Mus musculus: one gene and its partner. The protein of the gene in region 2 purifies or fractionates together with the protein of the main gene of each other region. This does not show direct contact. Links are inferred from orthologs where the notes say so. Each region holds a gene or a part of one and is shown on either strand. Other genes may lie near its edges.

Region 1 (3,646 bases), about 120 Mb from region 2:
ATAATTTTTGCTCTTGCTAACCAGCTGTCAGCTATTATTCCTTTCATGTAACAATGACTAGATTTCTCTCATTTCAGTCTTACATTTCCAGACAATCAAAGAATTTTGGAAAACTTCTCCACGTGCATATTTGTACTTACTGCCATGCTAACCTCAGCACTGACCGTAAATACCCAGCAAAGAATAAGAGCGGTTCCCAGAGAGCCTGAGCAGGACAAACCTTCCTCTTTCAATTGGTGTGTATGGCTCAGGCTGTGTAACTCAATCCAGTTTGGCAGTCAAGACAAAAAGACAGCTCATGCCAGGCATGGAGACACAGGGTTTGAAACCCCAGTGCTAGGGAGGAGGGAGACAGGAAAGTCATGTCTGGGCTCAAGCAGAGGAGGGAGGGGAAGGGAGGAAGAAAAGAGTTTGAAAAGTCCCTTTATTGGCTGTGTCATATTCCCAGCGTCCCACTCCTCCCTTCTCTGAGTCAAAGCTCTCAGTTATACACAACTGGAACGCGTTTCCTGCCGGGAGCAGGAAAGCAGTGATGAAGACATGCTTCATGGATAGGCAACAACTACAGGCCTTTTATGTGGGAAGGAAGTCAAAACACCTTACCCAAGAAGTTTATACCTTATACAGCGGCCGGCGCACATCTATGGGACAGCTCTGTATGACTTCATCGACAACATCCGAGATGGACTCCATAAAGTCTGGGTTGGCAAACTATATTTCATACGAATATGAAAGAAACATTATACACTTTCTCAAATAACACAAACTATTTTCAAACAAAATGTTAAGACTTCATTTTTACTTTTAGTGATGTACTTTGCTATGCGTGTGGGTGTGTCTGGGTGTGGGTTTGAGCATCTGAGTGCAGTGCCCGCAGAGACCAGAAGAAGACAGCATATCCCCTGGAGCTGGAGTTTCAGATAGTTATGAGCCAGTTCACCAGCTGGGCATTCACTGATTTTACACGCACAGTCACAAAACACTCTGGCTTAGTGTTACTTTCATACAGGGGTCAATGCACACAGTCCTTGAGATTTGTGACTGCTTTATTCCTACAGGTCCCTGGTGATCAGTTTCAAATCCATTTCTTCCATTGCTCTTCAGAGATCTTCCTCATGCCCAGGATAACCCCAACCTTAACTGTTAAAGTGGGTAAGCCTACAGCAAGGCGCTCCAGGCAACCATGCTGCAGAGGGAACCACCATGTGAAACCAACTTGCTCACTGGGTCCCTTTACTGGGAACTGCTGCTTCTGCACACTGGAGGGCAGCATCGTTCCACATATACTACTCAGTACACTCAGACATCTTACCTCAGGGTGAAAGAATATTTCTGGTCCCAGGAACCTTTCATAACCAACATCTATAATGAACTTCTTCTGGTTGATGGCATTGATCCCTGTGTACTGTTTGATCCACTTCCGAGGATCTACGTCATACTTAGCAAATTCTCTGACAATATCCGGGCAAATGTAGCAGTACTTCTCCTGTATGTACACAAAAAAGACATGGCCAAAGCATTGATAAGTACCAACGTCTCTGCCCTCTGACAAATACACAAGAACCCACATCTTACAGACACCTCTGAATTCATCTCTGCCTACACTGTAACTCTTGTGTGATTGACCCATCAAGCATGTGTCCTGCTGTCTTTCAGCTTAAGCATGACTACACTTGAATAGGTAAGTCTGTTTTCTCTGCAATGGTTACACATCACTTCCATGTTCTCCCTAATTCTGTTGCCATATTGTCTGAAATAATATCTATAAAACATCAGCTCCTTGTCTCCACCCAGGCTTTGCTTGCCCCCTCAGGCTCCCTGTCAGGTGCCAGCCTCACTTCGAGACCAGCAAACTAAGCTTGGCCCATTCTAGAATTCAGAAGTCAATTGCATGAGAGAGAGACAGAGAGAGAGAGAGAGAGAGAGAGAGAGAGGAGAGGGAGGGAGAGGGAGAGAGGGAGAGAGGGTGAGAGAGAGGGAGAGGGAGGGAGGGAGAGAGAGAGAGAGAGAGTGTGTGTGTGTGTGTGTGTGTGTACACAACGCATGCGTGCCTAAGGAAATGCTATCTGTCCTCCTGTTAAATGTTTGCTTGATCCCCTGCCCTTGCTGGTTAGGTATTCTAAGTCACTTGATCAACCCTGCAGATACACAGTCCATGAAACACTTAGGTCCCTCTCAGAGGCCATCTAGCTCAGAGTCAGACACTAGGTGACTGAAATAAGCAAACATCATGAGATCAGTTGGCAGCTACTATAGAATAAGAGCAGAATCAGGCGAGAGCACTGGGGCTGCCAAGAGATGGCTCCCACTGAGGAAAGGGAAACAAAGGCTGAGGGGAAACCTTGGAAATATTTTAGTCTACAAAGAAGTCTGAGGACATCTTTTCAAACCTCTCCCCACCATGGAAGGACCAGCTTTTCCCTTTTGCTTGAGGACTTCGAGTCTCCCCAGTCCTGGGAAGCCCAAGCCCACGAGGGAGAGACAGGTGGCATTTTTTTCTGTAGGAGCCATCCCTCTACCTGTCCCATCCCAAAAGGATTGTTCTCAACTAGCATCAGCCAAAATTCAGAAATCTCGTCCCCTGAAACTTTGAATTCAACCAACCTCCAGAGATGCTTGGCTGAGAGGAAACAGCAGGAAAGTTACCCCTCTATGCTGCAGCTCCGAACCAGAGCTGTGTGAGGTCACATGTCATACCCCACCTCAGACCCTTCTCCAGATTCAAACAAAATCCTCCCTCCTCTCGATTTATGATAACCAGCCTTGAACACTCAGGAATCTCTTGCATTTTGATTCTTTTTTAATGTTTTAGTTTTGCTAGATGAGAAGAAAAATTCCTTTTAAAAGTCTGTAACTGCCATGCCCACACCAATAGGAAGATGGGTGAGGTCAAGTAGACCCTCTAAATAATGACCTAAGAGTCACTTTGCTCTTTTGTTACTAAGTTCACATTTTCCTGTCACTGTCGTAGCATGTAACTGAGGTCTGGAGACAGGCAGGTGGATTCTGTTTAAGGACCCTGAGATCTAGACTGGCAGGGTTCTGAGGACTCTCAGGACACAAAGCATGCAGACACCTCTGGATTCCTGACAGCTACTGCTGCGACTCGCCTCCTGATTCTAAACGGAAGCACGGAGGGAGATGGGGAAGCAGCATGCAGCTAATTGAAGGTTTGGTTTAATTAGACTCCAATTAAACAACGCTCTACTCCACACACCGGTGGCTCAACACCAGCTCGGAAGCCGCTCTCTGTGTAGGAGAGCACGCTGAGCCTCACGTCCCCAGCACACTAAACTCAATGGCAAAACAACCAAAGCCCACACTCTCAGGGGATAGGAAGGGAGCAGGAGGGGCAGTGGCATTGAGGGGAACGTCCAAGCACCATCTCCCTCACCCCCAAACCAGCCAGGTTCCCTTCTGTTTTTACCTTGATGGCTTTTGCGGTTTCCAGTGACTGCTCAGGAGGGATTCCCACCTCCCTCTCCCTTAGCAGCTGTTGAATGAAATACGTAATATCTCTACCTGCAATTGGGATGTGTTTGATGCAGCTTCCAATTACATAACCTTCTGCCTGGAGAGGGGAGGAGAGGAGAGGAGGCAGGACAGCCACGTCAGTAACCACAGTCCAGAGCCCGTGCACTCAGGA
Region 2 (4,394 bases):
TCCTAAGCCTGCCAGCCAGAGCCTCAGGCCCCTTTGCTGCCAAGGACATTCTTCCAGTGCCTGGGTCCCAGAGTTCCTTCCAAGAGTGCTGGGTTAAAACTCTCCAGCAGGGTGCGCTGCTGAACATCGGAGACAGAGCGGGCTAAGGCTGTGGGATCAGGAGTTTGAAGCCAGCTTGGGCTTCATAGGGAGAACCTGTGATTGATAGAAATGGATGGACGGATGGATGGATGGATGGACGGACGGACGGACAGACAGACAGACAGACAGATTAGATAGGTAGGTAGGCAGGCAGATAGACAGGTAAGGGGCTGGTGAGATGGCTCACCGGGTAAAAGCGCTTGCAGCCAAGCCTGATGACCTGAGTTTGATCCCCAGGACCCAGGAGCGAAGGAACCAATTAAGGCTTCTAACTTGTCCTCTACCCTACCCCCCCCCACACACACACACATAAATAAATATCCTTCGCCCTGGCCCCTTGGCTTTTCTTGGCTGTGTTTCCTTGAATCACACACTCAGTCTGGCTGGATTTGAGACTTAAGCCAAGCCGGGAGTTGCCTGCAGCGAGAACCTTGGCTCCACAGGCAATCCAGGAAGTCCCCGCCTAGCTTGGGAGCTCAGCTAAGTACAGCCAGCAGCAGTTTTTTTTTTTCTTTTTTATGGTGCTAAGCCTTACTCAACTTCCTGTTGTGGGTAGGAGCCTGGGTGGTGTGAGCAACCCTCCAAACCCTCAGTTCCTCTTCTTCCCCCTCCTCTAAACTGTCCTTGAAGACTTACTGAATGAGGGAAAGTCAAATCCAGCAACAGATTAAATAAATTCTAAAATATCGTAAAACACCAGTTTAAAGAACCAAAACAAAAACTTCTCCAAAACACAGAAGACTCGGTGCTAGCAGGGCTGTGGGGAGACCCTCATCTGTTCCATGCCTTTGAAGGGCCGCGTGCTAACTTCTAATTCCAACAGCTTGTATGAGAGCAGACAGAATGTGGGGCTGGAGAGAAGGCTCTTTGCAGAGAACTCCAGTAGCCCTCAACCACCAAATAAATACTCTAGCTCCAGGGGACAGCATTTTCCACCACCCCAGGGCTCAAGTGTGTGGGCGCGCGCGCACCCAACCCATAAAAATACATCTTTAAAAAGAGAACAACACTGATGACCTTAGTAACTTGAAAAAGCAAACTTTTAAAGCCCTCTTTCTTAGGGTTGCCTTACTACAGAAAACCCTTTTTATATCAGTGGGTGACAGATTGGAAAAACCCACATACCACTGAGGAGGCTGGATCACTGGTAGAGCACTTGCCTAGTAAGTTCCAAGGCCCTGGGACCAAGACAGAACAAAATACTTTAATTCTAGTTGGGGTTATTTGTTATTTGAAAGATCCCGAAGTGTGCTCACCTTTAATCTCAGCACTGAGGAGACAGAGCTCTATGAGTTCAAGGCTAGCCTGGGGGGAGGGAAGGAGGAGGGAGGGAGGGGGAAAGAGAGAGAGAGAGAGAGAGAGAGAGAGAGAGAGAGAGAACCCGAGTCCAGGGGAAAGGAGGAGACCCTGCCTAAAAGAACAAAACAACCCAGAGTGAAAAAGAATCACCAGCGTACACCTTTAATCCCAGCACTCGGGAGGCAGAGGCAGGAGGATTTCTGAGTTCGAGGCCAGCCTGGTCTACAGAGTGAGTTCCAGGACAGCCAGAGCTATACAGAGAAACCCTGTCTCGAAAAACCAAAATAAATAAATAAATTTTCATTCACACAGACCTTTGCCTTGCACGCTTCATTGTGTGTCTTTGAGTGCCCATGGGTGTCGGGGTATTCGAACTCAGACCCTCAGGATTCCCCCTCCCCAACTCCACCCCTGTCAGTGCTTTTATTCAATGCTCCATCTCCCAGCCCCGCACATTCTCTTACAGTAGAAGCCCACGTGGTAAATCTATTCCTTTTTTATTGTCCACGTGAAGAAGTTGTTCCCTCCAAGTCGCCCCGCAGGGCTGCAGCTTCGGACCCCACCCCACCCTCCCACCTCATAAGGCCAGGTTCAAAGGAGTGCAGAAATAAGGTCTGCAGCAGCAGACAAGCAGGCACTCTGCCAAGTGTACTAGCCACATTTGGCAGCTAAGCCTCCAAATCTGGAAGGTCCCCATTTTCCAGGCAAGGCAAGTTGAGCTCTAGAGAGGCGAGGTGGCTCGACTGCGTCAGCAGCCACACCGCCCCAGGCTGGAGCTGCCTCGCGGGAACAAGCTTCATGGCCAGCACCTGGGCTGGCTCCCAGTTCAGGATTCCAGCCTATTTGCGGGCCCCACCGGGACCTGCCCTGTCCGGGGTGGCCTGGCTGGGTGCCCCTCGAGCCGCCAGGGTCCGCTCGCCCAAGCTGGGTGGAACCAGGAACCTGGACCCCTGCCGGGTATGGTCACTGGGGGATGAGGCGGGGCAGGGGTGCTAGCTCATTTCCCGGTCGCAACAACCCGGAAGGCTGCGGACCGAGGGGGAAGTGACTGAGCGTGGGGCCCTGCGCCCAAAGTAACGGGGCGACACGGGTCTCGGGGATCGAAAGCGGGGCCAGGAAAGCGGAGAGGGGGCGCGAGGCTGGGGCTGTGCCGTCTCGATGGCGTCGAGTGCGCGGGGAATCTCTGCGATTCTTCCCACCGCGCCCCGCATCCCCAGAACGCCGCCCCCCACTAGCTCCTTGCCAGCCCCACCCTCGCCGGGAGCCCCACCAGGCCCCCATGCACACGGCTCTCCACTCCTCTCTCATCCCCATCCCCCTCACCGTCGAACATCGCCTCGAGTCCCCTGACTTCTAGGTGGCCTCAGACACCACACACACCTCGCGACCACCCCGCGCCCCTCACCTCGGGTCTCCTCGGCCGCGGACTCTGGACAGTCGACGCGCCGAACCGGCTCTGAGACCCGCGCAGCGCCGCAGCCACTTCCTCGTGGGCGGGGGGCGGGGCCTTCGGGCACAGCCCCGCAGGGACCGGGGGCGGGACCCGGGCGGCTGTGGCCAGATCTCAGGGCCCGCCCACCCCTCGGGGTACTAAGCCGCCCGGACCTCAGTTAAGTCCAGCTCAGCCCAGAATTCGTTCGGAGATCGCACGCTGTTGCCCCTAACTACTTTCTGAATGGGGAAACTGAGGCTGGAAGAAGGGGGGGGGCGCTTAGAGGGCGGAAGCCCGAGATCGGGCAACCAAGAATTCAAAGGTTTTGAGGCCACACGCAGGCACCCCGCAACTTAATGACTCCTGCCCCGCCCCTCGCACTCTAGGTGCACCCCAGCCGTGGTTCCCCAGACTCTGTGTCCCAAAGATGGCAGAGTCGCTGGCGTCCAGGAAGAAGAGCACTGCCACTCCAGGTGACTTCTCGCTTCGGAAGTCCACACACTTCCCTCCAAGTTGCTGAGTAGCTTTGCAGTCAGGTGATGATGCTCCAGGGTCAAGGGTCTTCCAGGTTAGGTGCGTCTCAAGTTCCTTTTGCTGTGCCTCCCACCTTCTGAGAGCTCCTCTCTAGACTCCCAGCAATCTCCTGTATCACTAATTCTGGCTTAGAGGTGCCTGTGATAACCCACACCTGTCATCCCAGCACTGGGGAGATGGAGGAAGAGAGATGAGATTCGAGTTCACCCTTGGCTGTAGAGCTGGATGAAGGCCAGCCTGGGTTACATGAAACCCTGCCTCAAAAAAACCAAAGAAATGGGCCAGTAAGATGGCTCAGATGGCAAAGGTGCTTGCTGCCCAGCCTAAGGACCTGAATTGAACTCCCAGCACTGACTTCCACACACATGCCAGCCATAGTGAACTAGAGTGTGTAAACATACACACACACACACACACACACACACACACACACGCAGGGTAAGTAAATAAATTAATACTTTTTTTTTTTTTTTGAGCCAGGGTTTCTCTGTGTAGCCCTGATTGCCCTGGAATTAGCTCTGTAGGCCAGACTGCCCTTGAACTCAGAGATCCGCCTCTGTCTGTGTCTCCAAGTTCTGAGTTCTGGTATTAAAGCAGTGCATCATCATGCCTGGTGTAATAAAATACTCTAAGTTTGGAGCAGTTGCTGCAGTGAACACCCTGCCCATGTTCAGTGATTATGTATATGTGTGTGTGTGTATACACACACACACACACACATATACATATATAATGGTGTTGGGATTCAAACTCAGGGCCCTGCACACACAGCAGACGCTCAGTCACGGAGCTACATCCCCAGCCTTCACTTAAGTCTCCTTAAGTTTCTGGGGCTGGACTTGAAGTTACGTAGGCCTTGAGCTTGTGATTCTCCTGCCTCAGTTCCCCGTGCCACCAGACCCACCCAGCTCAGTAAGATTTAGCTCAGGTTTCCACGAGTCATCCTCCTGCCACAGACACAGAGGAGCCATGATCCTGCGCCCCCTGC

Evidence for each region. The genes of interacting proteins can lie anywhere in the genome.
Region 1: the proteins of Arpc1b (region 2) and Actr3b purify together in Homo sapiens (affinity purification with mass spectrometry; 5 studies listed by BioGRID and IntAct, counting the BioPlex papers as one, with this or other methods). This does not show direct contact. The link is inferred for Mus musculus from reciprocal best matches to the Homo sapiens genes ARPC1B and ACTR3B.

Annotation. Positions count from the first base shown.
Region 1 is NC_000071.6:25,829,451-25,833,096, reverse strand, and holds part of Actr3b (actin-related protein 3B), read right to left. Parts: intron 3,572-3,646; coding exon 3,428-3,571; intron 1,487-3,427; coding exon 1,313-1,486; intron 712-1,312; coding exon 619-711; intron 1-618. UniProt on the Homo sapiens protein: Plays a role in the organization of the actin cytoskeleton.
Region 2 is NC_000071.6:145,112,793-145,117,186, reverse strand, and holds the start of Arpc1b (actin-related protein 2/3 complex subunit 1B), read right to left. Parts: upstream 2,932-4,394; 5' UTR 2,846-2,931; intron 1-2,845. UniProt on the Homo sapiens protein: Component of the Arp2/3 complex, a multiprotein complex that mediates actin polymerization upon stimulation by nucleation-promoting factor (NPF).